Mus musculus: one gene and its partners. The protein of the gene in region 2 interacts with the protein of the main gene of each other region in a biochemical or structural test. Links are inferred from orthologs where the notes say so. Each region holds a gene or a part of one and is shown on either strand. Other genes may lie near its edges. The genes, in order: Adar, Xpo1, Ranbp3 and Ranbp1.

Region 1 (7,602 bases), on a different chromosome or scaffold from region 2:
GACTGATGCTCAGCTCCCGGAAGTGTGAGCAAAGCCCGTCAGCACCTCTCCATGGTGTACCCCTGCTGTGTGGGGGAGGAAGTGGGGGTCCTATGTGGAACCCCTGATTTCTGAGAGTCACACTCCTGGGGAACTCCCAGATTTCCAGTTGCCTGTCTTGGGCAGGTGGCCCTGGGAATCTTGGCCAGTGTCCTGGGAGGAATGGCGGCAGTGACTGGGTTTGTATTCCAATCAAGGGTGCTTCTGGGAGCCGCCCTTTGAGAAACTCTATCTGCTGAAGCTGGAAACTCCTAGGGTAAGACTCCGGCCCCTGTGGCTGCGGGTATCTCCACTTGCTATGCTCATGACTAGGGTCCAAGTACGACTGTGTCTGGTGAGGGAACACCCCTGTAGAAGGCAACATGGAAGACAGAGCTTGAGTCAGAGCTACATATGAGCCTATGTTCCCTAGAGTTTGTGCTTAGGGAAGCTATCCCTGCTTCCTAGCAGGTGGGGTAGCTGAGCTGTGGCCGAACTAAGGTGACTTTAGTTCACTACTGGCTACTGCTTGGAAGCTCATGAGAGAACAGAGAGAGGGAGGAGGTTGCAAGACACAATTTCAGATGCCTCAATGAGACCTCCAACTTAACTCTTGCAACGGGATATTAGGAGGTTGGTGTGGGGGGGAGAACACTGATCTGGTCCGTGGGTCAGTCAACAGGGTCTGCAAGAGAGAAAGTGGGGACTGAGGGGCAAGAGACTCGAAGAATGGAGACAAGACAGGTTATCTGATCAAGGATCAAGTATCAAAGTCTCAAGTCTCGTTTATTGGAAGGCAGCTATGGGTATATATGTACTAGCTGGAGACACTTAACCACAGGTCCAGGATGTATAGGAGAAAAACAAGATGTTATCTGAGTGTGTTCAACTGTGGTGGGCTTCTTGCAAAAACATCATGCTAGGAAAACAAGTCTCTCGTCAGGGTGGACAAGTACCACCTGTAAGTAAATAGCCCGAGATGGCTGCAGAGATGATAGCTGATTTCTGCTGAGAGTTGGCTCCCAACAGAATACCTTTCCACTTACCCCTCTAACTACCCTCCTAAAACTGGAAAACACAGCTAAAAAGTGGGCAAGGGCACTTGTCACTGACTTGGTGCTTTGGACATACATGTGATGGAAGAGAATGACCTTCTGCTGATCACGGCATGTGCAGGATGGTATATGCACCATTACACCCCATAAACAAACAAGTGTAAATCTAGAAAAATAAGCAAATGATATTCAAGAAACAAACACAATACTGAAAGTGAGGAAAAAGACAGGACGTGGGGTGTGTGAGATCAGCCCTCTGAGTGAGTCAGGCTCTCCACTACATAGTACAGCCCCTTTAGTCTAAAACTCTGTCATGTGGATAATCTTGACAAGCAGAACTTAAGGCTGGATGAGACGGAAGTTCACCTCCTCCCAGCTGAGGGAGGAGTGTAACAGCAGGAGCCATCTCCATGTGGTAAGAGGGCCTCAGTGAGTTACCTGTCAGTCACAACCCTGACGGACCAAAATTTGGGTACAGGGACTCTAGAGAGTTGCCATCTAAAAATGTCATGTGGTCCTCCCTCTTCAGTTGGCACCCAGGCTCACCTGGATATGGAGACAGGCAGGGTCTCATCACCACTACCAGTGGTCCTCTTACCTTCCCCAGGAACTGCCAGAGGCAGCCTCTAAGGACACCTTGCCATGAACAGCCTGATGGGGAGCAGTGGTGACAGAGGTCATGGGGTGGAGGGCAGTACATGAGGTGCTGTCTCTGACGTGCCTCACAGCCTTCCTGACTCTCCTGAAGGCTACAAGAGCTGGGCCACCGCCTTCTGTTTCCCATCAGTCATGACTGGGAATCTTACTGTCCTAATCACTTTTGTGGTACCTAACCCTGGGCTCCTCAATTCCCATGTGACCACAATCTTCACCTTTCAGCTACATGATGTCTTTGTCTAGTGACCCTACCTATATCACTATTATATAACATGTTTGTATCCATCAAACCCTGAAACTCTTTTCTGGTAGGTGGAGAGCATTTTCTAGTAGTGGCTAGATAACGATGGGCAGCATATTCAGAACCAAAGCCCATACAGACAAGACCATCCCTGGTCTTCTTTCTGCGCCCATCCCACAGGGCTTGGGACAGAGGTGTCATGGTGCTTGACATGAGTAGCCCAATCACATAGCTCAACAATGGGGGCTGTAGGAGATCCAATTAGTTTTTTGAGTGAACTTAGAAAGAAGACATTTTCATTTCAAGGTTAAAGTCAGTTTCTAGATAAATTACTTTTCTTACACTTATTTTATTTTTATGTGTATAGGTGCTTTGCCTGCATTTATGTCTGTCCACCACATGTGTGTCTGGTGTCCACAGAAGGCAGAGACCCTACCTCCCCCCAGAACTGGACAATGTGACACAATAGTAGCCACTGTTCTTATCTGCTGAGCCATCTCTCCAGCCCTAACTACATTCTTGATTTAAATGGCTATTTTCAGACAAAATCTGGGAAATATATGTGCGTAGCTACAAAGTAGTTGAATAAGTTATAACAGCCTCACACTGTGGAACATTAGTCACAATTTCTGAACATCTGTGTTGGATACATTTGCATTTTTACTACAAAAAATTTGTATATGTGAAAAGTGTAAATGGTAGAGTACATGTAAGTTAAGCTTTCTTCTGTTGAAAAGAAAAAACCTGGTTTGGGGGGGGGGGGAAGAGAAGGGAGAGAGAGAGAGAGAGAGAGAGAGAGAGAGAGAGTGAGTTCATATATGCACAAACACTAGAATAGGCACAGAAGAAATGAAACTAAGGAATTTACTCAGTTATTTCGGGGAGGTAGGACCAGAGAAGGAAACAGAACATGTAGTGCTATCTCTGACGTGGCTCACAGCCTTCCTGACTCGCCTGAAGGCTACAGGAGCTGGGCCACAGCCTTCTGTCGTGACTGGCAATCTTACCATCCTAACATATAATATCAAACATGGCTCTTCAAACACCATTCTAATCCTGCCTTCCATCTCTAGGACCAACAGATAAGTCCTTTGTCTTTACCATCTATGATCCATAGGTGCATACTGTAGTATATGTAAAAAGTGCTTTCCTTCAAGTCAGATGCCTGCAATATTTTGAGGGAAGGTAGACACACACACACACACACACACACACACACACACACCATTAAGAGCTGGGGAGATGACTCAGTGAGTAAAGCGTTTGCCACACAATCTTAAGGACCTGAATCTGAATCTCCAGAACCCAAGAAAAACAAAACAAAACACAGTGTGGTATAAAAATCAGTAATTGTGAGACACTTGAGGGTATAGGGGACCAAGAAGAAAAATTCCTGGAAGCCTGAGGGCCCAGTTCCGAGGCTGTCCTTTGTCGTAGAAAGAAGTACAAGTGTGCCTGTACATCTGCAACATTAAAAGTTGGTTGTTGGAGTAGGGTTTTTTTGGTTTGTGTTTTTGAGGCCATCTACACAGCTTTGGCTGGCCTGGGACTCAGAAATACCTGCCTCTGCCTCATGAGTACCATCATACCCCCCAAATTACAACACACACACACACACACACACACACACACAGTAGTAGAGCATTTGCTTATCAAGTGTGAGGCTATTGGTACATCCCATATAGCTTTTTAAAATTTTGAAGGATAAACCTGGGTGGGACATGCCTGCAATTCCAGCTCTAGGGAGAAAAGACTGGTGGCTTGCTCAAGGGCAATCAAGGCAACACAAGACAAGTAGAAACTGCCTCAAAAGCAAACAAACCAGCATGGTCAAACCAAGGCAAGGAACAGTCCTAATCCCACCACAGGGTCAGTTTCCATCCCCGCTGCTTTCCAGAATGACAGATCCAGTGCTGTGCACAGCATGAATCCTCGGAATCTGGGTTTTTCTGTTCAGAACGTTGCAGCTGGGGCTCATGTACGACATCACAAGTTCATTTTAGTGCTAAGTAGAATTCCACGAAGCTTACCCAGTGCGCTACAGAAAGACACCCTTCTTGGCCATAAAGCAAAAGACTTCCCCCTGCTGGTTAGTTGAGATAATTTAAATTTCTCAGGAAGTTGAAAAAGCAAAGAGGATCATGAGAAAAGTTGCTCATGTTGGGCTATAGCGGCTCAGCAAGGCATCAGGGGTCTTAGCAGAAAGAGAAGGGGTGTCTGCCCCGGCCTGGGTCCTTGTCTGGCTTAGACGCTGGTCTATCTTCTGACCAGCCTCCTTCCTGAGACTGCTCAAAGCTACAAGAACTAACTGAACAGAAATCCCCAGAAGGGCTGGCAGTTCGGCTTGAGAAGGAGAACGTGACCCTCGTAATTCACACTACGCGAGCCAGATATGAGGGTGCAGACCCCGCGGGCTTACCTGTGGGTCCCCTGAACCCTTGAGACATAGTGCCGGCAAGGCCCGCACCTGTGGCCGTAAGATGGCTGGCTCCCCAGAGTTCACTTTCGTTTCCTTGAAAAGGCTTCCCCGCCCAACTGTTGGGCCAAGAGGAGGGAGGGGTTTGCTCCCGGTAGCCGAGCAGCAGCATCCTGCCCACCATAAGGGCTGGGCCGCCGTAGTCCACGCCCACCGCCTTCCTCACCACTCCACCTCCACTAGCAGGGCACTATATACGTTCTCTGAGAGCTTGGGAGCTATTTACTTCACTGACAAGCTTATTTTTGTTCACGGTATTTTGGAAAGCTTCACTCAACAGCGCCCTCTCCGCCCTGTGAGGAAGTTCCTTTTCCGTGTTTAATCCCTACTGCTTGCGAGATTTACAAGTCTGTCCACTCCTAGAGTGACCATTGGCCAATGCCCTGTCCCCACTAGCCTGTCCTTCATTCCCCCTGTTGGCTGCTCCAAACTTCCTATCTTTTTGTAGATAAAATTCTTTACCTTCACGTATTCTGTTCTTTAGCCTAGAATGTTCCTCCCCCTTTCCTTGTTTTGTTTTTGAGACTTCAGAGGAATTCCACTTCCATATCCCTGGGTACCTGATGCGTTTGTACCAGTGTCAGCACCCAGCACATGGTGCAAGTAGGCCAGCATATGGCAGTCTGGGCATCTAGTGTATGCTACAACGTCAGCACCCAGCAGCACACACAGTGTAAGTAGAAGCCCCAGCATGTAGCAGTCTGGGCAAGATGGATGGCTCAAAAGTCACTCCCAATCATGTCCTCCCTGTTTGGTATAGCTGCCTGCCTTCAGTGCTCCCGGGGGCACTCCAGTGGGCAGGGCTGTTCTCGCCTATATCCCCTGCACAGTGAGTCCCAGACAGTCATAGGTGAGTGGATAATAGTGCACTCTAAGTAAAACAATTTGCGGAACAGAAACTTGGGGGGGGGGGGATAAAAAATGGCAATCAACACAGGAAAAGAGCTCAATCTTGTGCCATCAGGGAAACTCAGGAAAGGTCACAGTGAGTAGGTGTTCTTGTCCACTCACCAGTGTGGCACCATTAACTAGCACATAGGAGGACCAAGAAGGAGCAACCCCAGTCACTGCAGGAAGTCATTACTTAGAAACACACCCCATGGTTTAACCATTATATGCATTTAGCAGGATAAGCTACACAACACTGAAAGCAATCAAACTAAAATAAGCAGATGTTCCCACCTTAGGATATTACACAGCAATTGAAGTAAAAACCACAGCCAAATGCAGCAGATGGGAAACAATGTAACAATACTGAAAGAAGACCTCCTGTCCCAAACCAAGCAAAACCAAGGTCAATCATGTATTGCACAAGACAGGTTCAAGTCCAAGGCATTCTAAATGGAAGGAATGTTCTGGGGGCTAATGATCCACTGAGGACCCGCAGACAGTCTCATTCCTAAACTTTGTCTCGCTCCCTTGATAACTGTCCTAACTCTCCCAGCCTCACTAGGTGGCACCTCCACTGCAACCTGGGGCTGTTTACCTTTTCCAGGTTTTCCCCTCAACTGGAGGGCCTTGGGAACAAACAGGTGACAGTCCTGTCACAAGCAGCTTACTTCCCTAGGAGCTTGGGAGCCTCCTGCCAGGTTCCAATTCAGAGGGCTACTCCTTAGTCACCACCCAAATAACTAACTCAGTTGTGTCTAAAATAAGGTATCACAACCTCCCCCTTGGCGCTTGCAGGCCAGGAAGATTTATTTATTTTATGTATAGGAATACACTGTAGCTATCTTCAGACACCCCAGAAGAGGGCACCAGATTCCATTACAGATGTTGTGAGCCACCATGTAGTTGGTGGGAATTGAACTCAAGATCTCTGAAAGAGCAGTCAGTGCTCTTAACCACTGAGCCATCTCTCCAGCCCCGAAACATTCATTTTCTAAACTCACAGGGCCTTCCCCAGCAGTCTAACTTGCTCAAATAATCTGGGAGGCTTTCAGGAGACAAAAGAATGATGTATCACCTAGCTATACCGACCCTGAGAGATGTTCTACAGATGTTGATAGCCACAACCAGCTTTTGGTTTTGTTTTGTTTTTGAGACAGGGTCTCATACAGTTCAGGGTCACCTAAAACTCCTCCAATATACAGCTAAGGCTGACTGACTCTGAGCCCTTATAATTCTGTCTCTCCCTTCCAAGGGCTTCTAATTTTGAAATTACTAGAAAGCAAGAACTGTTTTGGGTAGCTGTCCCCCTTCCCCCCAAAAAAGAGGTCTCCAGAAGAAGGGACATCCTTTTATTACTGAGTCAGAGTTCTCCAGTAAATGAAAGGAAAAGACGTGTATGCCAGTAAGGTTAGTGGTTACATAATAAAGTTATAATATTAACGACAATGCCAAAACAACTGTCAGAACAACAGCTAACAGTCCTGTATAGACCATTCCGAGTGCACATCACGCACATTTAGCTTCATGGGCAGCCCACAAAATAACTCTCTAAACCCTATGGCTCTATGTATTAAATCCTGTCTGGTACTCAAGCTGTTTGTCCTATGCAAGCTCAGTCCTGTGAGTAGTACTTGGTCAGCTGCTGGGGTGGCTCTGGCCAGTAGAGACTCAGCTATTGGCCCACATCTGGGCCCCTCTGAGTTAGGACTCAAGGTAAGGGATTCTCATCCACTGTTTTTCCTTCCTCTTCTCCCCCAGTCCCAGCCTGAGCTCTGCTCAGTCCTAGCTCCTGCAAGACAATGGCCCCATCTTTAGCTTGTGGAGTAAGTGTTGTATGGGGTCAGCAACAACAGACTGGGCCCTGAGTGCTGCAGCATTTCTTGGAAAACAGGTGGATTTCACTAACAGCCAATTTGCCAGATGGACAATTCATAAAATAGCCAATATATGGAATTTACTTTTTCTCCTTGTTTTTTGTTGTTGTTGTTTTGGTTTCTTTTTTTTTTTTTTTGAAGACAGTTTCTCTGTGTAGCATGGGCTGTCCTAGAACCCACTCTGTAGACCAAGCTGGCCTCAAACTCAAGAGATCTTCGTGCTCTGCCTGTTTCTCCCTGTTCTTAATTGAGTAGTTTTTATTCCATCTTCCTAACAGAATTTAATGGTACCATGATGCTGTCTCTTACTGTCCTAGAGCAGAGATTGAGGAGGAACCTGGGTTGGGGAGGGGCCAGCAACACTACAGGGCCTTTCAGAGCCCCTGCTGG
Region 2 (7,464 bases):
TAAATCCCAGCATTCAGGAGGCAAAGGCAGGCACATCTCTGTAAGTACAAGGCCAGCCTGGTCTACACAGCCAGTTCTATGACATACAGATCTACATAGAGAGACCTTGTCTCAAAAACAACAGAAAGCTCTGGGCAAGTGTCTTAGTTTGGATTTTATTGCTGTGAAGAGACACCACGACCATGGCAACTCTTATAAAAGCAAGCATTTAATTGGGGATGGCTTATAGTTTCAAAAGTTTAGTCCAGTATCAGCATGACAAGAAGCATGGCAGAGTGCTTGCTGGCATACATGGTTCGGGAGGAGCTGAGAGATCTGCAAGCATCAGAAAGACTGTGTGCCACACTGGGCATAGCTTGAGCTTAGGAGACCTCAAAGCCTGCTTCCACAGTGACACAGTTCCTCCAACAAGGGCATACCCATTTCAACAAGGCCATTCCTTCTAATTGTTCCTATGGGACAAGCATTCTATGAATATGTTGGAGCCATACCTATTCAAACCACCACAGCAAGCCATAGCTAAAGGCATGAACCACCACACTTGGAAAAATACGATTTGTTTGTTTGTTTTTAAGACAGGGTCTGTTTGGCTTGGAACTCTCTATGTAGACCAGGCTGGCCTTTGACTCACAGAGATCTGCCTGCCTCTGCCTCCCCAGTCTTTCTACTAAGGGTGTGTCCCACTGTGCCAAGCCACAAAGGCTATTTTTCAGAAAGGCATCCATATACCTGTAATTCCAGTCAGCACTAGAGACAAACAGAGGAAAATTTGAATTTAAGGTCAGCCTGCAATTTATTTAGTCACAGGATACAGTGGCACTAGGGAGGCGGAGGCAGGATGGTCTCTGCCAGTTCTAAGCCAACAAGGGCTATACACCAAGTCACTGTCTCAAAAAAAGAAAAAGGAACCGATGGATTAACTCAACAAGGTGCTCTCATTTCCTCACTGGAGCTGTGCCAAGCAGCCCCTGACCCAAACAAACAAACAAAATAAATTCCTCACGAGATTATAAAGAATTAAATAGAACATTGCACATAAGGTCTTCCATACCCATTGAATTCAGGTATTCGACTTAGTTTATTTACATTTCCATATCTCTATCCTTGGGGGTAGGATTGTTTTTAACTGTTGAAGGTAATGAAAATGTATAAGCAGTGTCAGATCTGTGTTCCGAATATTTGTTTTTGTGTATAGGGATAGCATCTTCTGCCTCCAGCTGACACTGAATTTATTCTGTAGCTGAGGATGGCCTTGCATTCCTATTCTTCCTGTCACTTCTTCCCAAGTGCTGGGAGTTCAGGCCTGTGCAATATGCCAGGTCAACTGTGTTGACTTAATAAATGTTGTGGCACAACAGACCAGTCGATTTTGGTGGACTGCTGGCTGTTTTTCCCCCAGATAGGGTTCTCTTTGTAGTTCTGGCTGTCCTGGAGCTTGCTCTGTAGTCCAGGCTTGTTTGAATTCAAGAGATCTGCCTGCCTCTGCCTCTGTCACCACCACCCAACTGCTGGTTGTTTTAAGCAACCCTAATCAGCAAAACTGACCTGGCACTTGGGAGCCATGGGTTAACCTAGGGGCGTGGCATAATAAGGGCACGCACCAAGTTAAAAGAAGTTGGCACAAAATCTGTCTATACGCATTGTTAAGTTAGCAACAGGATTTTCAATGTGTTAGGACTAATTTTTAGAAATAACTTCTTGTTGAAGCAGTCTGGGGAGAGTTAATTTTTTGTTGTTGTTTTTTTTCGAGACAGGGTTTCTCTGTGTAGCCCTGGCTGTCCTCGAGCTCACTCTGTAGACCAGGCTGGCCTCGAACTCAGAAATCCCTGTCTCTGCCTTCCAAGTGCTGGGATTAAGGGCATGCGCCACCTCTGCCCGGTAGAGAGTTAAATTTTTAAGGAGGCTCGTCCAATAACTAACTAGACAACCGTTTCCAGGCGCCCAAACTGCACGCCCGTTTATGCCAACCTCGGCCCGTGCTATTCACGTTCCCATGCGGTGCCCAAACCCAGGCCTCTACAACGGATCCAAGGCCCAGGGCCTACCATCCGGCACCTATGTGTTCTTTTCGGTCCTTCGCGGCCGTCTATTTCCATGTAGAAACAGGGTGTGCCCTCCCTTTTCCGAGCACAGACCCCATCCTAAGGGCGGATGCTGGGGCCCCAGGACGAGGCCCCTGAGGTTGGCGGGAGCTCGAGGGGGCGGGCCGCCAGGGAACGGGGAGGGGGGGAAAGCAGAAAGACGAGCAACGCGCGCGGCGCTCAAACCCGCGCTGCCTTCTGCTCACGGGCGAACCCCACCCTCTCCGTCACCAAAGGCGCCCAGCCAATGGGCGAGCCGGAAAGGCCGGGCTTACAAGCGAGGGACCGAGAGGGGGAGCCACTCGAGGGGAAAGGGATGTAGAAGGCGGGCTGCACTTGACTGACAGCTCACTCAAGCCAATCCTCTGTGAGGCTTCTCCGCTCTCCTCTTTGCTGGGCTCTGTTCGACGTCCCACCTTCTCTTCCTCCACCCCCCCCTCACTCCTTTGCGTCCCGCCCCGCCTCCCCTCCCCCACTCTGCGGGCAAATCACTGCTGGAAAGAGGCGGGGGCCTAAGCGGCAGGCTCGTGTGGAGCCTTGAGGTGGGATTGACGGGCGCTCCGACCAATAAGAGGTAGGCTGATGGCGCGGCTGTGGCCGGGGCCGACCAATGGGCGCGCGGCCTGGGGGCGGAGGCCCAGGTTCCAAACGCTCCGCGGCGCCATGGGCTGAAAACTCAACCGAGATGGAATCTCCCAGTCTGAACCGGTTTCAACCGGTTCCGAGTTTGAGGCACTAGGAGGAGGGGGAGAAGCGGCTGCAGCGGCCGCGGCAGGAGCAGCGGGAGCTTCAGCATCAGCAAGAGCAACAGTAGCTACAGCCCCGGCGGCCGTGCCTGTTCCAGCCTTTGCTGCAGCAGTCGTGCAACCATCCCGAGGGGGAGGGGGGAGGCACCAGTCGCTGAGGAGCACGCGAAGGGGGGAAAGTTTAGGCTAGCTCGGGTGGGGGGGCCCGGCGCCGGAGCGGCGTGAGCGAGGGAGCCCTGTGTGGTAGGGGGAGCCGGACTGCAACTGGCGGCAGAGCGGCCCCGGCCGTACGGACTCGCGCTGCTGCTCCCGCCGCCGCCTGTGGCTGGAGGGTCCTGGGCTCTGTCTCACGGACTGGCCCGCTCCCCTCCCCCTTCCTTCCCTCCCCAGCCGGGCGGGAGCATTTATTTCTCGGATTAATTCCCCTTTTTGGTGGGGCGCGTGTGTGTGCGTGCGCGCGTGTGTGTGCGTGAGTGTGTGTTGGGTGGAGTTGTCCCTAGAATAGTAAATACTGAGCTTTTTTTTTTTTTTTTGCCCTTCTCTGCTTTTTAATTTCTTTTTTGTTTAAGGTGGGAAAACTGTGAAACCCACCTTGATTTCCTCCCCTCTCCCTCCTCCCCACCTTCCCTCGCCCCAAGCCCGGACAAGGAAGGAAGAAGCAGTTGGTTGAATTTCTGGGTAAGTCGGTCGTGTGCTCGGGGCCGAGGGTCGGGCGGCGGCGGCGCGGCGGGCATGAGGCGAGGCGGGCGGCGGGCGCGGGGCCCTCGGCGGAGCCTGAGATTGAATGGAAGCGCTTCTGTCGCTCGGTGATGGAGGTGGGGAGGCGGCCGCGGGAGGGGAGCGCTTGCTGGGTCATCTTCGTGTGCGGGTGGCGGTGGAGGAAGGCGAGGAGCGTGGTAGTGAGGCTGAGCCCCTGCGCGTGGGTGGAAGGGCTTCCCCAGTCCAAAGGGCTGGGGAGAGTCGGGGGTGATTTCGGGAACGTCTCTGTAAATTATTAGGAGTGGAAGTTTCCAGAAATATTTAGTGCAGCAGCATTGAAACGTCCGCCTGCATCACGTGGCCCCCTCGGTGGAGAGCTTGGGATGGGGGAGGGAGGGGCTACCGAGTCCCTTCTTATGTGAAGAAACTCGAAAGCCTTGTGGGTGATTTTTGTTGTTGTTGGTTTTGTGAGTGTGTGTATAACAAGAAGTAGGAAAGAGGAGTTAATTTCTTTTTTTCGGGGGCCTGCAGTTGGGGTTCCGTGTTGTAGGTTGTTTTCGCCCGGGGCATATATGTCTTGGTGAAACCGTGTACTGCTGGCCGTGGACAGTGAATGATGCCCTCCCTGCTCCTCCTTCTGGTTTCTTGAGTTTGCGGTGTAGGAGAGGAAGTGGTGGTAGAGGATGCACTGAATACTCGCCGAGGCGGGACCTCGGATCACTCAGAGGACATGCTGCATAGAGAATAGGGCGGTGAACTTAGGCGCCGGGTCTAAATGCCTCCTCCGAGTATGGGCGGGGTGAGTGCGTGCTCCTGTGAGCTATAGTTAGAAGTGCTGAGAGTCGTTCGGGTGGGAAGCCAGGGGAGGGCGGTCCCTTCCTAGTGAGGCGTGTGTTTCTTACTGAATGAAGCAGGCGATTGCCCACACACGGAGTAGCAGTCTTTTGTAGCATCTTGTTTTTTGACTCATTGTGAACTTACCTTTTTAGATGGCTACTGGTGGGTAGTGTTTTGCTGCTTGCAGTGCCATTGAAGGTATATGGACAATCACTTGTAGAGTCACAGCATTGTTTGATGGGTTCCTACAGTTCACAATCCAGTGAGTGGAATTTGGGATTGGGGGACACCAACGAGACAGGTGAACCAATCAGAAAGTGAACAATCCCTCCATAGCTGCACTACTTACTGCATGATTCTGTATCTTGAATGTGGGTGTCACGGCTGACGGTGGAATGACTATTTGGAAGCTGTTTGGTTGGGGCTGCTAAATGTGCTTGGCATTGACCACAGAGCCGCCATTTCTGGATTACCTATAGTTGAAGTTGGAAGATAACCGCTAGTTCCGAGAAAGGCCAACAACTGTATTTAAGTATTCTTAGATTGCACCCCTTCCCCCACATGAGTCTAGTATCTGAATTCTTAGAGAAGACCAACTTGAAAATGAAACTTAGGACTTAAGTGTAGGGTCATTTGACTAAACATTTAATCATTACTTTTTTTTTTAAAGAACTATAAATTGAGATAGTGTCTGAGACAAGTTGGTTGCAATTTTTAACCATAAACTCGAAAAATCTGTTTTAATCTGTAAAAGTTATGACACTTGAAGTTATTGGAAAGAATAGTTATTTGTTAGTGGGATTTATTTTTCTTGTATATTAGTGTTCTGTTTTTCCCTTCTTAAGACAGACAGAGTCTCACTGTGTATTCCAGTCTGTGCTTCCATCTCTTCTGGGATTGCATATGTCTTATCTCTTAACACTGGCCTTGGTGTTAATTGTCCTTTCACCTCCCAGGTGCTTTCTTTAATTTTTAATATATAATTTATTTTTACTTTTAGTTTATGTTTTGTTGGTGTTTTGCCTGCATGTATGTCTTTGTGGAGGTGTCAGAAAACCAGAAACCAGAGTTACAGATCAATGTGGGTGCTGGGAATTGAACCAGGGTCCTTTGGAAGCACAGCCACTGAGCTATCTCTCCAGCCCAGTTTGTTTGTTTCTTTTCTTTTTCTTTTTCTTTTTCTTTTTCTTTTTCTTTTTCTTTTTCTTTTCTTTTCTTTTCTTTTCTTTCTTCTTTTTCCGAGACAGGGTTTCTCTGTATAGCCCTGGCTGGCCTGGAACTCAAATCTGTAGACTCAGAAATGCACCTGCCTCTGCCTTCCAAGTGCTGGAATTAAAGGCCTGGGCCACCACTGCCGGGCTCCAGCCCAGTTTCTTTATCTTTACATGAGTGTAAATGTGAGCATATCTACCTATGAAAGAATTTTTGGACTCGTGAGGAGTTTGAGTGGGGAGCACAGATAGGTCTTACTCTGTTGCCTTTGTCTTTTAACAGTAGTATGCCGGGCGGTGGTGGTGCATGCCTTTAACCTGAGTTCCAGAACAGCCAGGTCTATACAGAGAAACCCTGTCTTGAAAAACCAAAAAACAACAAAAACCCCCCAGCCTTGGCCTGATTGTTAGTTACTTCAGATAGGGCTTCATAGCTCAGGCTGGTCTTAAACTCTGTATGTAGATGAGGCTTGGTCTTGGTTTTCTGATTTGAGTGTCAAGAGCGCTGGGGTTCCAGATGCACACTTCTGGTTTGAAACCAAGGAGTTCATGCATAGTAGAGCACTTCACTGACTGAGCCAAACCTAATCTTTGATTTATTATAACTAAGTTTTATCTTGGGCATGATTAATAAAACCTTTGTATTGAAGTATCAGCAGCACTACTACAGAAATACAGCGGAGAAACTACTTGTCCTAGCTGTGTTTTGAGCCAGGTTTCACTGAAAGGCTGAGGTGTTTTTTATTCAGGATCTCTGCAGTCCAAGGTATCCTGGAATTCACACTTCTGCCTTCACCTCCTAGGTGGTGGGATATAGGACTAGACCACCAAGGCCCACTTTGTACAGGTTTCAAACTGTTATTTTAAGAAAAGGATGGTACAGAATGGCTCAGCAGTTAAGAATTCCTGCTGCTCTTGGTGAGGACCTAGTCTCCATTCTGGGTGGCTCATAATCTCTGCGACTCCAGCTCAGTGGGATTCCACCTTGCTCAGGCCTATACAGGCACCTGCACTCTGGCACACAGAGCCACACACAAACCCAGTAAAGTGTAAATTCTTTTTTTTTTTTTTTAAAGATTTATTTATTATTATATGTAAATACACTGTAGCTGTCTTCAGACACACCAGAAGAGGGAGTCAGATCTTGTTAGGGATGGTTGTGAGCCACCATGTGGTTGCTGGGATTTGAACTCTGGACCTTCAGAAGAGCAGTCGGGTGCTCTTACCCACTGAGCCATCTCACCAGCCCCGTGTAAATTCTTAAAAACACAACTTTTTTCATACCAACCTAATTATTCAGAAACTGCGTGATCAAGCACGCTATTCATTTTCCAAATTCTGGAGGTTTTGTAAACTGCTGTAAAAGGTATTATGGATATGCTTAAAGTATCCTCTTTAAATGGTATGCAAAATTGTTTAAATTTGAACTACAAACCAAATGTAGTGGCTCACACTACACCTGTAGTTGCAATGCCTGGAAGGTTGAGGCAGAGTATTCATATGCAGCTCTATAGTTAGGAGAGGATCCAGCCTGTAATCTCCAAGCTGTATATTGAGTCTGAGACAGAAGGGTGGCAAGTTCAAGGGTTGCCTGGCTAGAGTGACTTCATTACCAGCTAGCAACTCTGTCTTATCTGAAAATAAAACCAAGGGGTGGAGAAATACAGCTCAGTGATAGTGTGCAGTGCCTAGCATTTACAAAGTTCAGTCCCTCGGTACCACAAAAATAAGAAAATTTGGCAGAATATTTATATGCTTGTGTACACTTTGGAGGTGAGAGGTCAACTTGTGGGGACCAGGTCTCTTCATCATGTGTGTGTGTGTGTCTGTGTGCGCGCGTGCGTTTGCATGCGTGTAGGTCTCTTGGATTGAACTCTGGCTATTTGGCTG
Region 3 (6,969 bases), on a different chromosome or scaffold from region 2:
TTTAGCTATTGGAAAGATGTTCTCAATGGGCAGTGGTGGCACACATCTTTAATCCCAGCACTTGGGAGGCAGAGGCAGGTGGATTTCTGAGTTCGAGGCCAGCCTGGTCTACAGAGTGAGTTCCAGGACAGCCAGGACTATGCAGAGAAACCCTGTCTCAAAAAAACCAAAAAAAAAAAAAAAAGAAAGAAAGATGTTCTCAGGTAAAATCCCTAGACTTGAGCCACATGAAACACTATCCCCAAAAGTGGAGGGATTCTTAGTGGGATGAGGGCCCTGGGCAGTGAATGTCTAGGAATATGTGACTGTCACATGTACAGAGGCTACACTTTTGTTCAACTGCCCAACACACACCAGGCCAAATACCTTCACTCTGTCTCTCAAGTTCTGTCCAAACACAAAGGCCTGTGGGGCCGCCTGCTCCTCTTCACAGTGCCCCTCCTCTGAGGTGCCATGTGGGGTTTTCTGAGGCACCTTCTCCTATAAGGAAAAACAAACAAACAAACCAATATTTACCAACAAGACAATGGAGTGCTCAGGAGCCTGGAAGTCAGCCAAGCTCACACTTTCCTGGAAGCTAGGATAACTCTCTTGGAGTAGGCACCATTAGAGAAAGGCCTAAACCCCAGATCTGTGCTGCGGGCTCCGGGATCTGAGAGAGGGGATGATGCTCGGCCTGAAGTTTAAACTGGCCAACACCAGCACTCCCCTGCTTCAGTAGAGCTGAGGGAAAGGATGTTTCCAGCTGGATAGCAAGGGGGCCTGTGGAGAGCTCAGGACCCCAGGGCATCCCTCTGAGAGGCAAACTCGCTTGTGGTGCAGAGAAGCCCCAGGTGGAAATGAGGTAGACTGTGAGTATCACAGCCAGTACTCAGAAGACTCCTCCAAGGGCCCATTCGTGGGGACCTACAGCTCAGGCAGGAAGACTCTGCATGTCAGAGTCAACAGGGCACATCACCACACCTTGGTGCCAACAGACCTAGAACCAGTACCAAGGATCCATCAGGCAAGGGGATAAACACTCAGGATGTAAACTATAAACAGTAAATGGCAGACACCAAGTAGCAGATCAGATGAGTCACTAGAGGAAATGGTGGGACGTGGGTCACAGATGTGAGATCCCACTGCAGAGATGACAGCAGGGAGCCTAACGTCCCAGGCCATTCTCACTTCCACCTCACAGCTTCAGTATGTTTTTTGTTTTACACAAGCTTACATTTATGTGTGTACATGCCTATGTGTGCATGTATAGAAAACCAAGAACAATCCCCTGGACCAGTTTGAAGGAATCACCATGTGAATCCCAGGGATCCAACCTACGTCCTCAGATTTGGAAGGAAGCATTTTTAATTCACCGAGCCCTCACTGGCCCTTCTAAATGCTTTCTTCTTACAAGTGTGACTCCTCTGAGTAAAAGGTCTTGATCACTCATGTGACCTGGATAAAGAGAACTTGAGTCCAATACTCTAGCTGCACATGGACGGTGGTGTAGAAGAGCTCCAACAGGTCTATGACAGCAACTTGCAGTGTACGGCAGGGTGGTGAGACAGTTCTGAGTTCTCTGCTAGGCTGTTAAGAATTTAAATGTTTCTAGTTGCTTGATACCTTACAAATCTGGCTCCATTCTGACTCTCTCATGGCCCAGGTGATCGTCTCCTAGCCACAATACCACTCTGTCTTCACTGAGCTCAGCACCACTGATCAGCTGTGTGGTGTTGGCACTGTGAATCAGGAATGGCTGATAAAGTCGGGGTCTTGCCTGCTCTTTCCTTTTTTTTTTTTTTTTTTTTTGAGACAGGGTTTCTCTGTGTAGCCCTGGCTGTCCTGGAACTCACTTTGTAGACCAGGCTGGCCTTGAACTCAGAAATCCACCTGCCTCTGCCTCCCAAGTGCTGGGATTAAAGGTGTGCACCACCACGCCTGGCCTTGCCTGCTCTTTCTACGTGATCAGAAATAGTGAGTTTGGTGACCCTGTCCACTCCAAGACAGCTTGGGAGTGAGGCTTACATCTGGAATGTGCAACTTTGGGCTCAAATCTGGGGTGGCACAGAGAGAGAATTCAGAGTCAAATCAAAGCTGGATACTAAGAACCCAGCCTGCTAGTAAGGTGGAGCAGAACGTCCTAAGCTGAAGGAGTTGCACTGTGGAGGGAGTGTGGAAACTGCAAGAGGGTGACACAAGTAGACCCTGCGTGGTGGAGCTAGATGCCAGCATAGCCTGGCTGGAATCCGTACCTAACTGGGAGCTATTCCTACCCCCACTTAGGGCACTGAGGTGGGATAGACATTTTCTCAGTGAGATCAGAGACATCATTATGCCTGTGACTCTACACAGTGGCCAGCCTGGGAAGCGGGTCACCATCACAGCCCTCATCTAGCTGCTGCTGGCACTGCCCCTAGCCTTAATCCTGGGTCTGCACAGGCACCTCTTCTCTCTTACGCCAGCTTTTCAGGGCTGACTGCCACAGCACCAGTCATTCTGAGGGTTCATCTGGGACGCTGTGGGGGAGCTCTGGACCTTGTCATGGAGACATAGTAACAAAAGTTGTTCAGGAGCTCTCTGGGAGTGGGACCATCCTGACAGTGACTGACAGCCTATCAACCAATGCCAGGTGTCCACTGGCTAGGCTCTCAGTCCCTGGTGTGGTGTGGGGAGGACCTTTGACAGGATCGTGTGGAAGTGAGTAAGTTACAGGGGCACTGTCCTTGACGCTCTGCTATCCTTTCCAAGACTGCTCATGTCACGAGCACTCCCAAGTGAAGTGGGCTGTAATCAGCTAGGGGCAGGAGAGCCATAGCCATGCTGCTCATGTTTCCAACTTCTAAAACTATGAGCCAGTAAATCTTGTGTCTCTGCAAACGCCCTTCCTGGAAAGAGGACTAGACTGGGAACAACCTTGTATAAGAGCAGGCAGCCTAAGAAGCTGCCCAAACTAAGAGTGCTGGGAACTGCTATAGGCCTTTAGAGACCAAGAACCCACACAGACAGCACACCAGAGCCTGGCACTGCAGCCCAGCCACCCTGGCTGTCCCCATGACCGACCAACCTCGAGTGTGTGTGTCTCCTCGGCAGACTCAGAGGGACTCCTCTGCGTGAGGTTTTCTGGTGATACAGACGTTGCTGGCCCCGTGCAGTCTGCTGGCATACTGACTCCATTGGTGCCACTGCTGGGAACTGCAAAAAGGAAAGAGAGTGGACAGGTGTCTCCCAGCCCTTCAGCAGCTAACTAAGCTGCTAGACTCTGAAGTTCATTCATCCTGGGCTGTGTATAGTGATGAGAGCTTTTAATCTCAACATTTGGAGGCAGAGGCAGGTGGATCACTATGAGTCAGAGGAAAGACAGATCTAGACAGCAAATTCTAGGTCACCTAGGGCTATATTTAAGAAAGGAAAAGAGGAAGGAAGGAAGGAAGGAGGGAGGGAGGGAGGGAGGGAGGGAGGGAGGGAGGGAGGAAGGGAGGAAGGAAGGAAGGAAGGAAGGAAGGAAGGAAGGAAGGAAGGAAGGAGGGAAGAGAGAGAGAGAAACAAAGAAACAAAGAGAAAGAAAGGGAGGAAGAAAAAGTCATATATTCTTAAATTAAAAACAAAAGTAGGCTCAAAACTCACAGACATGAAGAGCTGCTGCCTTTATTCTAAAAGACACTGTATTAGCATATAGCTTAGGATGCTCAGGGCCAGGGATGCATCCTCAGGACTACACGCACGCGCACACACACACGAACACACACAAGACATGAACAAGAACTGGCTTCTAGTGAGCTCAGAAGCAGGACTCCCAGAAAACGAGCAGTAAAAGGAAATCTATCACAGATTGCTCCATGCAACTGAAGGAGAGCCCGGCCTGTGTGTGTGGGGTCAGCATCCAACCCCAGCACCTCATACAATCACAAAGCCAGAAGGAAGCTGGAATAGTGGTGTGTGCCCACTATCCTGTGAGAAGGAATACAAAGTGAGTTCAAAAGGAGCCTGGGCTGGCTGCACAGGGTGATACTGAGTCACAAAAATCCAACTAAACCAGGACAAAATGACAACTGCCCTACATGCCAGGTCCATCCTACTTACCCCCAAATCAAGATGAAATGAAACAGGAATCTTTTAAGGGTCTATACTATGGCTCTATCCGGTGGACTCTGAGCAATGGACCCAAGCAGACTTTGGGTGATTAATCAGCAGGAGATTAACCAGGTCCAAAGTGGCTAGGTTACTTCTGAGTTTTGAGTAACAAGACCAAAACCCAGCAAAGCTGGAAACCCTTGCAGAGCAGCTTAGGAGGTTGACAAGAGACCTGGGGACACAGAAAACCTTGGCAGTACCCTATTGAGGTTCCCCTCAGGATGGGACTAACCCAAAGGGTCCTCTTGCCTCTGTACTTCAAACTGTGTCTCAGTCCCTTACCCGTCTGCGACAGCACCTTGGGCTGAGGGGCCTGCAGCACAGCTGGACGGAGCACACCACGCTGCTGTTCCCTGGGTTTCTGGCTGGGCAGACCTGGAACACAGTGGATTCTAGGAACCTTGACCCTGCTGCTCCAGGGCACATCAACTTCTATGGTTGTGCAAGGGAGGCCACACTTAACACCAACACTTTATAGTGACAGACACCTGCCATTGAGACCTGTGACAAGGTCCAGGTCTTCCTTTGCACTGTGCCTCCCACAGTTTGCACGGTGCAAAGGAAAATGGCCAGGGCTGGTACAGGGTCACATGAGTTCCCAGGAAGGAGATACCCTGCTCCCATAGGTCAGAGCAACTTCCCAGGGCTGCCTCCATGTCAGTCCCAGTCCCAGGAGCAGACTGGGCCTACAGCAAGGGTCCTGGAGCCAGGCAGAGGCCTGCAAATGTCACCCACCTGCACTGGGTGCCTGACCGTGGATGAGTGTTGGGGGCTTCAGCCGGAAGCCGCTGCTCTTCTCTTCTGCAAGGATAAGACACAGCTGAGCTCAGCCTGTGGAGGCAGGAGCACAGCGAAACAGGGTGCATGGTAGGCCTGGGACCCCAGAGAATGGTCCAGGCTACAACAGAAAAGTAGGAGGTCCATGTTAGAATATGGTTCTGTGGCAAGGCCAGCACAGGGAACCTGGAGGATGAAGATGCTGAGACAGAATGACATATCTGCTAGACTCTGGGCCACTCCTCCCAGGAAGGTGAGTGATGGCACTACTGGGTAGGCCTACAACAGAGGACATGTACGCTCATGACCACAGGACTAGGGCAGGACCTGCCTCCCAGACATGCCTGTTACTCAGTGCCAGCTCTGCCAGCCACTCACAAGAGCTAGGAGATAGAGCTGGAGCTGCAGGGACAGCTGGGAACCCAGTGAGTCTGCATCCTGGTGACCTTGTCCTGGTGATGGACAGCTAGTCTAATGTGACCCAGGACAGGAGGAAGGTATGAAAAAAATGCACAGGCCACAGGCAGACTCGGAGGCTCATCCATCAAGCAGACAGATGTTAACCCCATCCCCATATGCACAACCCTCCTGAAGGAAGCAAAGAATAAAACCCATGGACAGAGGCCAACAGCAGACAACCCCCAAACACAGAGCTGAGAGACTGGCTCGGTAGGCACAATGTCTACTGTGCAAGCATAAGTGCCTGAGTCCCAAGTCGGGCATGGTGGCACACACCTTTAATCCCAGCGCTCAGGAGGCAGAGGCAGGCAGATTTCTGAGTTCGAGGCCAGCCTGGAGTACAAAGTGAGTTCCAGGACAGCCAGGGCTACACACAGAAACCCTGTCTCGAAAAAACAAACAAACAAAAAAGTGCCTGAGTCCCGTCCCCAGTACACAGCACAGCTCAGTCCTAGAGCTGGGTATTTATGGGCAGAAACAGGAATGTCCTGGAGCTCTTTGGCCTGCAGGGCCAGCCAAATCAATGAGACCCCGCCTCAGGAAGGCAGACAGAGTGATGAGTATTGGCAATGACCTCTGGTCGCCAAATGCACATGCACAGGTGAGCACGCTAGCACCCCACAATACATGCACATCCACACATACAAAAGGCAGAGTCTTAAGTGAAGAAAAGCTGCTATGGTGCAGGGCCCATGGATAGGAAATATCCACAAGTGGAGGCAGGAGGCAGATTCATGACACCCATAGCTGAGGATGGAGGAGGCTGAAGAAGGACTGCTCACAGGGATGAAGTTTATTTGTAGGTGACAGCTTGATACTGGACACACTGATGCCACTCCAGCATCTTGTCACATGGGCTCTGATAGGAAACTGGTCACACTTGAAAGCCCAGGGGACACCTTGGAGGACACCTAGTCAGAGCAGCACTCAAACCCTGGGAATAAAGAGCTAAGTCCACTAGCCACACAAGGCCTAGACAAGTGACAAAGCAGCCACTGGAGCCAGCTATGGAGTGGGATAGAGGCCTTCAGGGGGGGCAATGCTGGACCACACTTTTCAAACCTGAGATCAAGTTCATAAACTGTATAACTAGAGGACCCAAAGGCTGGCTTTAGGCACCCCTTGGTTATAGGTCTTTAGGGTCCTGTTCACACAACCTTTTAAGACTTGAGGGTAAGCCAGGTGGTGGTGGCACACGCCTTTAATCCCAGCACTTGAGAGGCAGAGGCAGGTAAATCTCTGTGAGTTTGAAGCCAGCCTGGTCTGCAAAGTAAGTTCTAAGACAGCCAGGGCTCCACAGAGAAACCCTGTCTCCAAACCCCAAAGACTTGAGGACAACACAGCTGACCACAGGGACTGTAGCCACTCACCTGCACCAGTGTGGGGCCCAGAGCCTGGCCATTGTGTTGGCATGCAGGAATCCAGCAGGGCACTGCTGTGACCACATGGGACAGACAGAAGGCAAGCCTCCCTGTTGACACTAAGTGGGCAGCCAAGGCTTAGAGTTCTGTTCCCAGCCCCACCCATAGAGACATACACCCTGGGCTCTTCTCAGGTCTTGTAAAGACTCACTTTGCTAACAGTAGAGGTTACATTGCTCAGGACCGGGGGAACCCAGGC
Region 4 (7,677 bases), on a different chromosome or scaffold from region 2:
TTTAGAAAATGTAGATTTTTGCATTAGAGAATCTACCAGGATCAAGAGTAGAGGATGGTTTTGTGCACTGTGCCCAGAGATCTGATTACAGTCTGGTGTTAGTATTGTCATGATTACTGAAGCATCTCCCATCTCAATGATGTATAAAAATTATTCTCCCTTACTTCTGATTGGTTATAAAGAGTTGATCAGCCTATAGCTGAGGAAGAGAGTTAAAGTGGGACTTCTGATCTCAGTAAGGGTGTCCTGGGTGGAGACAGTGGATGAGGAATTGCCAAAAGAACACAATGGAGCAGGAGTAGCCAGGGTGAGACTTGATGGCAGGTAACAGGGCATGTGACTGAGTTGTTAGAACAGATGTCAACACTGCCCAGCTATAGTGCATTATTTCAAGGCCTTTAAAGGAGGGTGTAAATCCATGTACTTTTACACAGCTCAAGATGGATCTAAACAAATAGGGAGGGGTGGCTCTTTGAGACCTCTTTCTAGGTACATAAGACCACACCTGGCCAAGAGCCCTCCTCATTTACCTTCTTGTCAGCCTGATTCCTTCCTATATCATCCCAGAAAACAGCTTAGAAGGAGAACATAACAGAAAGTAAAAAGAAGGCAGCTTTGGCACGGGATAGCTCCAACTTGCCCAGATAACATAAGTCTAGCCTGGAGGTCTATATCTACCCTGGACCTATCTTGCCCACAGCCTAAATTCACTGTCATAGTTCAGAGACTTGTTACAAAAAGACAATAAGTGTCATAAATATATGCCCCCCCCCCCCAGTAACCAACTCCTAAAACTTGCAGGGTCTAAAGACTGAAAGGCCACCTACTATAGTGGTTGGCGCATATCTTCAAGGTTTTGTCCCTCCTCATAAGAAGGCGGATGGTCCCTTTCTCCTTGTGCTTCAGAAGCTTGACATCTCCAGTGCCTCGCTCCTTCCATTCTGGGAGGTCATTCTCTGAAGCAAACCGGAACAGCTTTGCACGCCTGTAAGAGAAGCCAGTATGGAAACATCTAACAGAGAGGGAACTCACACCTGGACTAATTGCCACAAAGTGTTCTTCATCTAACAGAGAGGGAACTCACACCTGGACCAATTGCCACAAAGTGTTCTTTGGACACTGAACATAAGGGAACTGTTGAACACTGTGTCTTCCCCAAAAACCTTCTTCAATGGGCTTTGGGCACCAAGAATTACTAGGCAAAATAAAACCCAGGGGAGCACAATAGGCCAACAAATACCAGGTTGCAGAAAGATATTCATAGCAAAGGATTTTCCCCCAGAGACACATCTAAGGATACACATGACCCTCAGTAGGTAAAGAAGCCACAGGTCTGTCTGGACAACCTACTCACACTAAATGAATGCCCTGTAACTACATAAAGCCTTAGGAATATTATCTTCCAGAGGCCCAGCAACAGCTTCCTGTCAGAAGGAACCTATAGCCTCCAGGTTTCAGGTACACAGTACCTGCAATGAGTCCAGTACACCTGGCTCTCCTGCCAAGCCAGCACCCTTCTCCTCTGTAGCCCGCATTTGCTGTTACAAAGCCTCTGCTCTCCTCCAAATTCAGTCTTGTCCAGGGAGATTGCATCTTCACTTAACTCCTTAAGAGAAAGCTCAAAGGCCCTTATATAAAGGCACAATATGCTGTCTCTAGCACAATACCGAGGACACTGGGGTACTTTCAGCATCAAGTGGACAAAATCAAGTACCACGTAACTCAGGGAGATGCTACCCTCACCCACTGTTGTGGATCAGAGCTCTGGACCACCATCTTCTAGGTAGTACAAGGGTGTACTTATGGCTCTCCATGGGCAGCCTCCTTCCCTCCCTCCCTTCAGAGCAGAGAACCTCTAACAAACATCTTAGGCATAACTGAAAATTTGACATTAGCAAATTCTCTTGATTTTACATGAGAATGAGGTCCATACCACTGCTAGCACTACACTCTCAGATCTCATACTTTCTAACCTGAAAAACCATGAGCTGGAAGCTGAAGAATTGGCTCTGCAGTTAAGAGCACTGGCTGTTCTTCCAGAGGTCCAAATGGATACTCACAACTTGTTACTTTAGTCCCAAGGGATTCACTACCTTCTTCTGGCTTCCTTTAGTACATTGTGTAGATAGACATCAATGTAGGTAAAATGCCCATACACACATAACAATTAACAAGGGCTAAACAAACCTCAATCTTTGAGGATACAGTTAAGGCAACAGACAGCAAAGCAAAAACAAAGAAAAGCAAAGACTCTGCTCAACAAAGAAAGGGAGCCCCCACCCAGCAAAAAAAGTCTCACCATGTAGTCCTGGAACTTGGTTATATAGACCAGATTGATCTACAATCCACAGAAATCTACCTGCTTCTGCCTCCCAAGTGCTGAGACTAAAAGTGTGAGCCCCCACAGCCTGCTGGAGACACCCAGATGACACAGAACAGTGATGGGAACAACCTTCACATGACTGGCCACAAGGCAGCAGGATAACCTGGCAACATTTTTGGCTGAGAAATGGTTGAATTTTCATTGTAAGACTAGTCACCATACATCTCCAAGCACTTTCTTAAAACAGCCTTTATCAAGCTGGGTCCAAGCCATGAAATTCACAGAAATCAGTGTGCCCAGCCACCCTAGAATTCTTCTGTGCAGTTCCAGATAGAAATCACAAAGAGGCTATGCCAGAACATATCACTAAGGCTTATACCTGAAAGAGAAACAATACAAGGGACAGAATTCCTAGCTTGGCTGGCTCCTCTAGAAATTGAAGAGGTAAACATAAGTGGTCCAACTATGGTTGCTGGGTACTGCAAAATGTGAAAGAAATAGCCTGCAGAGACCTGCTTCCTGTCCACTCTTTTTTCTCTCTGTCTCAGTCAGCCTATCTAAAGATACTTCCAGGACCCCTTAACAGACTTACATCTTAAAAAGTTCCTCTTCATCTTCCTCCAGCGTTTTAATTTCTTGCTCGGGAAGAGAAACTATTGGCTCGAACTGGGGGTCGTGGTTGGACTCATCTGCATTCTCTGTGGAAGTATCATGGTCCTCGTGACTGTCCTGTGTAGAGAAGGTAGAGTGATGTTGCTGGCTGGTGGACTCGGTCCACAATGGGCATCATCAATCACAAATGGCATCTGGAAAATGCCTCCCCAAATTGGAAATTAAGCCTTTGGTTTTATCTTTCACATCATCTGATTGTATTTACAACCAGCATCACAAAAAAAAAAAAAAAAATCACAGGATATCATGAAACAAGACTGTGTATTTTGACACTCCTACACACTCAAACATCAATGGGTTACACACACCCAAGTCCTTGGCAAAGTAGCTTGGGAGAAACTTCCTCTTCTGTTAAAAAAAAAAATACCCACCATGAAAAAGAACATGATATACTCAAAAGGAAGAGCAGCCGTAACAGTTTTTACTGAGGGTTATCCAAGCACTTGTTAGTTTACAATCCCTCCAGCAATAATACCCAAGCTTGAAATTTTAAGCCGAAAGAAGCTAGGAAAAGTATGACAAATAAGCTCTAAGATTCTGACTCAACTTGGAGAATTACAAGGACATGCATGTTTAAATCTGACAAGATCACGTGCTTTGATAATATAGAGAAATCCCAGACTCACTACCTAACTCAACAGGATAAAGAAACAGAAACCTTTCGTTCGGTTTCTCAGCACTGCGGCTAAGCTGCGGCCGACACACGAGCCACCAACAAAGCCGCCCCCGCCCAGAGTCCGCGCGTCTAATATCTGTACCCTGCGCTGGGACGCGAGCTTTCCCCACCGAAGGCGCAATGTCCTAATGAATGAAGGGGTCTGCGTGCAACTGGAAGGAGGATTGCCGCCCCTAATGGGAAGATCACAAGTGGGCCACGACGGAGGAGATCGGCCACCTCCAGGTCCCCAGGTGAAGCCGGGAGCCCAGTTTGGGCATGGCTGTTCATCCGCAGACCACAAGGTCACGCGCCGCCCTGTAGACCCCGAGATCGGAGTCTTGGCCAGCAGCTCCCACTCGCGGACCCCCAAAGACCTCGAGCACCCCAGGCCCAGGCGCCTCGACAGGCCCCGAACCCGCAAGCCAGCGAGGGTTGGAGGCCGAGGCGCGGGCCGCCCACGTGGCCGCCCATAGCGGCCCTTGCCTCTCCGGCTGCCCTGCCCCACCCGGGCCTCGCTGTACCTTGGCGGCCGCCATGGGGGCGCGGCGACGGTGGCTCGACTAGCTCAGGCGTCGCTGGCTCGGCGGCCTCTGGGCGGCTAGTCGCAGCTCCTTTCCTCCGCGTCTGGCGCCGGCGCTCCCGCCCGTCCGCTCTTCCCTCCGCCCCCCGACCCGAACCCTGACCCCTGACCCCAGCGGCGGGAAACGCGCAGTGATTCAAAACCAGTGTAGCTTTATTGGCTCCGACAGCGGACATTCATTGTCCGGCCCGCCCCGCGCTTCCCGCCAAAACGCCCGCGGCGCATGCCCGGCCGCGCCTCAGCCCGGGGAGCGCGCTCTCCCGGCGACCCACGCGCGCACTTCCGCCTGCAGGCTGAGTGCCTCCGACGCTGGCGTGAGCGGCTGCTGGAAGGATCAGTCGGGACTCGGCGCGCGGCGGTGACGTCATCGGAACCAAGCCCTTAGAGAGAGGAGACGCAGCTAGTGTGCGCTGGCCAGCCGAAGGCAGGCGCAGCGTGTGGCCCTTGGGGACAGTGCATCCGCAAACCTCAGTCCCAGCTCTGAGCACCCGAGTTTTGAGTCCCTGTGTGGAGCTGCGGTCTACCTTCACGGCGGCGTACCTCGTATCTGCGCCCTTGTTGGGTGGGAGGCCGAGCCGGTGGTCCTCGTGAGCACCCTGGTCCGGGCAACAGACGAGCCAGGAGATGAGTGAGCCGGCCGCGGAAGTAAAGCAAAGGGAGACGTGCAGGAGATGTGGACGGGGTGGGCGGAGGTGGGTTGGGGCAGCAGTCATTACTGTCGGATCAAAGATAGGATGGGGGAGAATTGGGTCTCGAGAGTAAAAGAACGGGTTTCTCCAGGGCTTCGTGGAGTGTGCACTAATGGAGATCTGTCAGCGGTTTGGGGGAGCGAGTCATACCAATTAGAGCCTTCAGCCAGGCCCGTCTGTTCCCACGTAGGTTCCGGAGCCCATGGAGGACTGCGGCCAGGATGCCAGTGCTGTACCCAGCTCTGCGGCCCCACTATGTCAAAAAGAGGAAGCAGGGCCTGGGCCAGCTGCAGGGCCTGGAACGCAGCCTGGGCTCTACAGCTACATAAGGGATGACTTGTTCACATCAGAAATCTTTAAACTGGAGCTCCAAAATGTACCTCGCCACGCCAGCTTCAGTGACGTCCGGCGTTTTCTAGGCCGTTTTGGTCTACAGTCCCACAAAATCAAACTCTTTGGACAGCCACCATGTGCCTTTGTAACATTCCGAAGCGCTGCTGAACGAGACAAGGCCTTGCGAGTGCTGCACGGTGCTCTCTGGAAAGGCTGTCCGCTCAGCGTACGCCTGGCCCGACCCAAGGCTGACCCCATGGCTAGGAAGAGGCGGCAAGAAGGTGATAGTGAGCCATCAGTAACACAAATTGCCGATGTGGTGACCCCTCTGTGGACAGTGCCCTACACTGAGCAGCTGGAGCAGAAGCGACTGGAATGTGAGCGGGTGCTACAGAAACTGGCCAAGTGAGTGTGGTGCTGACATCCCAAGCAGAGCTGGGTTTTGCTCTTGGCCTGGTCCATTAGCCATGTAAGCAATTCAAGATACACACAGAGTTTATGTCAATGGTTCTGTACCATTGGTGGGAACCAGTGGGTCACCAGACTTTCAGAGGGGTTGCCTAAGACCATCAGAAAACACATTTACATCATGATTCACAACATTAGCAGATTACAACTACAAAATTAAAAAATGTTATGGTCGGGGATCACAACATGATTACAGGATCACAGGCACCATTAGGAAGGTTGAGAACCACCAGTCTGAAGTGGTCAACGAAAGAACTCATAAGGCCCACAACAGAGGGATAGTGAGGTCGCAAATGAATTGCCCAGTATGGATGGGGAACAGTGTTAAATCCAACCATGATGTATTTCATCCTGCAGAGAAATTGGGAACACTAATCGTGCCCTGCTACCCTGGCTGCTTTTACAGAGACAACAGCACAATAAAGCTTGTTGCCCCCTGGAGGGGGTCAAGCCATCACCCCAGCAGGTCAGAGAAATCCCATTCTGTGTGTATGGGGATGGGGGGGCTTGGGAGGCTGGCCCTTGTTCATGTCAATTTTATTATGCATATGCTCTTTGATATTTTTCTTGCTTTTCATTTCTTCCCAATGTTTGATAAGCCAGCAGTAAAATCTTGTTCTGTTACCCCTTGGGCAAATCTGGGTCTTTTGTTCACTATGGTATTTCTTCTTCCAGTGCTGGGTAATCAAGGTTGAGATCTGACTCTTTACTACACTCCTACAGACTGAATATCGTAATAAATGTGAATTCCTGGTCGGAGTTGGGGTAGACGGCAAGGACAACACAGTTGGCTGCCGGCTTGGCAAGTACAAGGGTGGAACATGTGCTGTGGCAGCTCCCTTTGACACTGTGCACATTCCAGAGGCCACTAAGCAGGTGGTGAAGGCCTTCCAGGAATTCATCCGGTGGGGACCTTGCCTGGGGCTGGGCTTCTGGGAAGTCCCTGATCCATCTGGGACAAGGGGGGTGGCCCCTGCACTGGCAGTTGTGGATGTGGGGTAAGGGGACAAGGTACCAGGACAGATGGGCACACACTGAGTATATTTGTGGTTTCTTCAGTTCCACACCATACTCGGCATATGACCCTGAGACATATACAGGCCACTGGAAGCAACTGACTGTTCGTACCAGCAGCCGAGGCCAGGCCATGGCCATTGCCTACTTCCATCCCCAGGTCTCAGGTGGTGGTCCTGTTGGGGGATGTGTCTGGTATAGGTTGGCTTTTGCATAGCCTGATGGGAGTTTTATATCATCTACTACAGAAACTGAGCTCTGAGGAGGTGGCAGGACTAAAGGCCTCCCTGGTGTGCCACTTCATGGAGGGGCCAGGCAAGGCCAGTGGGGTGACCTCCCTCTACTTTGTGGAGGAGGGACAGAGGTGAGGAGCCCAGGTGGAGGCAGGAGGGGCCAGACAGACCAGTGACCCTGACAGATTTGTTTTCTCTTGTATAGAAAGACTCCCAGCCAGGAAGGCCTGCCCCTGGAGCATATGGCTGGCGACCAGTGCATTCAGGAAGACCTGCTAGGGCTGACCTTCCGCATCTCCCCTCATGCATTCTTCCAGGTAGCATACCCCTTGTGAGCATAAACACAGAGGGAGGGAAGCCAGTAACTAGCATCAAAGATTTATAGAACACACTCAGGTACTGGGGGCCCCAGAATAAGGTATATGATAACAAGGGATATTTGCTAGTGATTGGCCTCTTTGCAGTTAGCCAGTGAAATGCACAGCCTTATTGCACTCTGTGGAACCCAGAACAGGATCAATCACTTTCACTGTTGAAAAAACCCTATGGAGATAGAGGGTGGAGAGAGTCCAAGGTCTCTAGCATGAGGCATGCAATCACTCTGAGTTGCCCTGGGAGAAGTTGTGAAGTCAGGGAGCAAAACTCCCCATTGATGGGAGTCTGTTGTAAGGACTTGGTTTTTAAGAGACTGGGTGAGATCACTGGTA

Evidence for each region.
Region 1: the proteins of Xpo1 (region 2) and Adar form a complex in vitro, tested with the Homo sapiens proteins (2 studies listed by BioGRID, with this or other methods). The link is inferred for Mus musculus from reciprocal best matches to the Homo sapiens genes XPO1 and ADAR.
Region 3: the proteins of Xpo1 (region 2) and Ranbp3 form a complex in vitro, tested with the Homo sapiens proteins (2 studies listed by BioGRID). The link is inferred for Mus musculus from reciprocal best matches to the Homo sapiens genes XPO1 and RANBP3.
Region 4: the proteins of Xpo1 (region 2) and Ranbp1 form a complex in vitro, tested with the Homo sapiens proteins (3 studies listed by BioGRID, with this or other methods). The link is inferred for Mus musculus from reciprocal best matches to the Homo sapiens genes XPO1 and RANBP1.

Annotation. Positions count from the first base shown.
Region 1 is NC_000069.6:89,727,627-89,735,228, reverse strand, and holds the start of Adar (double-stranded RNA-specific adenosine deaminase), read right to left. Parts: upstream 4,512-7,602; 5' UTR 4,419-4,511; coding exon 4,391-4,418; intron 388-4,390; coding exon 1-387. UniProt on the Homo sapiens protein: Catalyzes the hydrolytic deamination of adenosine to inosine in double-stranded RNA (dsRNA) referred to as A-to-I RNA editing.
Region 2 is NC_000077.6:23,253,213-23,260,676, forward strand, and holds the start of Xpo1 (exportin-1), read left to right. Parts: upstream 1-2,828; 5' UTR 2,829-2,948; exon of another isoform or gene 2,949-3,431; 5' UTR 3,432-3,505; intron 3,506-7,464. UniProt on the Homo sapiens protein: Mediates the nuclear export of cellular proteins (cargos) bearing a leucine-rich nuclear export signal (NES) and of RNAs.
Region 3 is NC_000083.6:56,698,968-56,705,936, reverse strand, and holds part of Ranbp3 (ran-binding protein 3), read right to left. Parts: intron 6,830-6,969; exon of another isoform or gene 6,720-6,829; intron 4,915-6,719; coding exon 4,849-4,914; intron 4,489-4,848; coding exon 4,396-4,488; intron 3,175-4,395; coding exon 3,047-3,174; intron 481-3,046; coding exon 367-480; intron 1-366. UniProt on the Homo sapiens protein: Acts as a cofactor for XPO1/CRM1-mediated nuclear export, perhaps as export complex scaffolding protein. Bound to XPO1/CRM1, stabilizes the XPO1/CRM1-cargo interaction. In the absence of Ran-bound GTP prevents binding of XPO1/CRM1 to the nuclear pore complex.
Region 4 is NC_000082.6:18,244,374-18,252,050, forward strand, and holds the start of Ranbp1 (ran-specific GTPase-activating protein), read right to left. Parts: upstream 4,322-7,677; 5' UTR 4,190-4,321; coding exon 4,175-4,189; intron 3,053-4,174; coding exon 2,916-3,052; intron 986-2,915; coding exon 828-985; intron 1-827. Other genes in the region: Trmt2a (tRNA (uracil-5-)-methyltransferase homolog A), read left to right, coding at 4,858-4,878, 5,113-5,660, 6,081-6,189, 6,447-6,628, 6,783-6,897, 6,986-7,101, 7,176-7,287. UniProt on the Homo sapiens protein: Plays a role in RAN-dependent nucleocytoplasmic transport. Alleviates the TNPO1-dependent inhibition of RAN GTPase activity and mediates the dissociation of RAN from proteins involved in transport into the nucleus.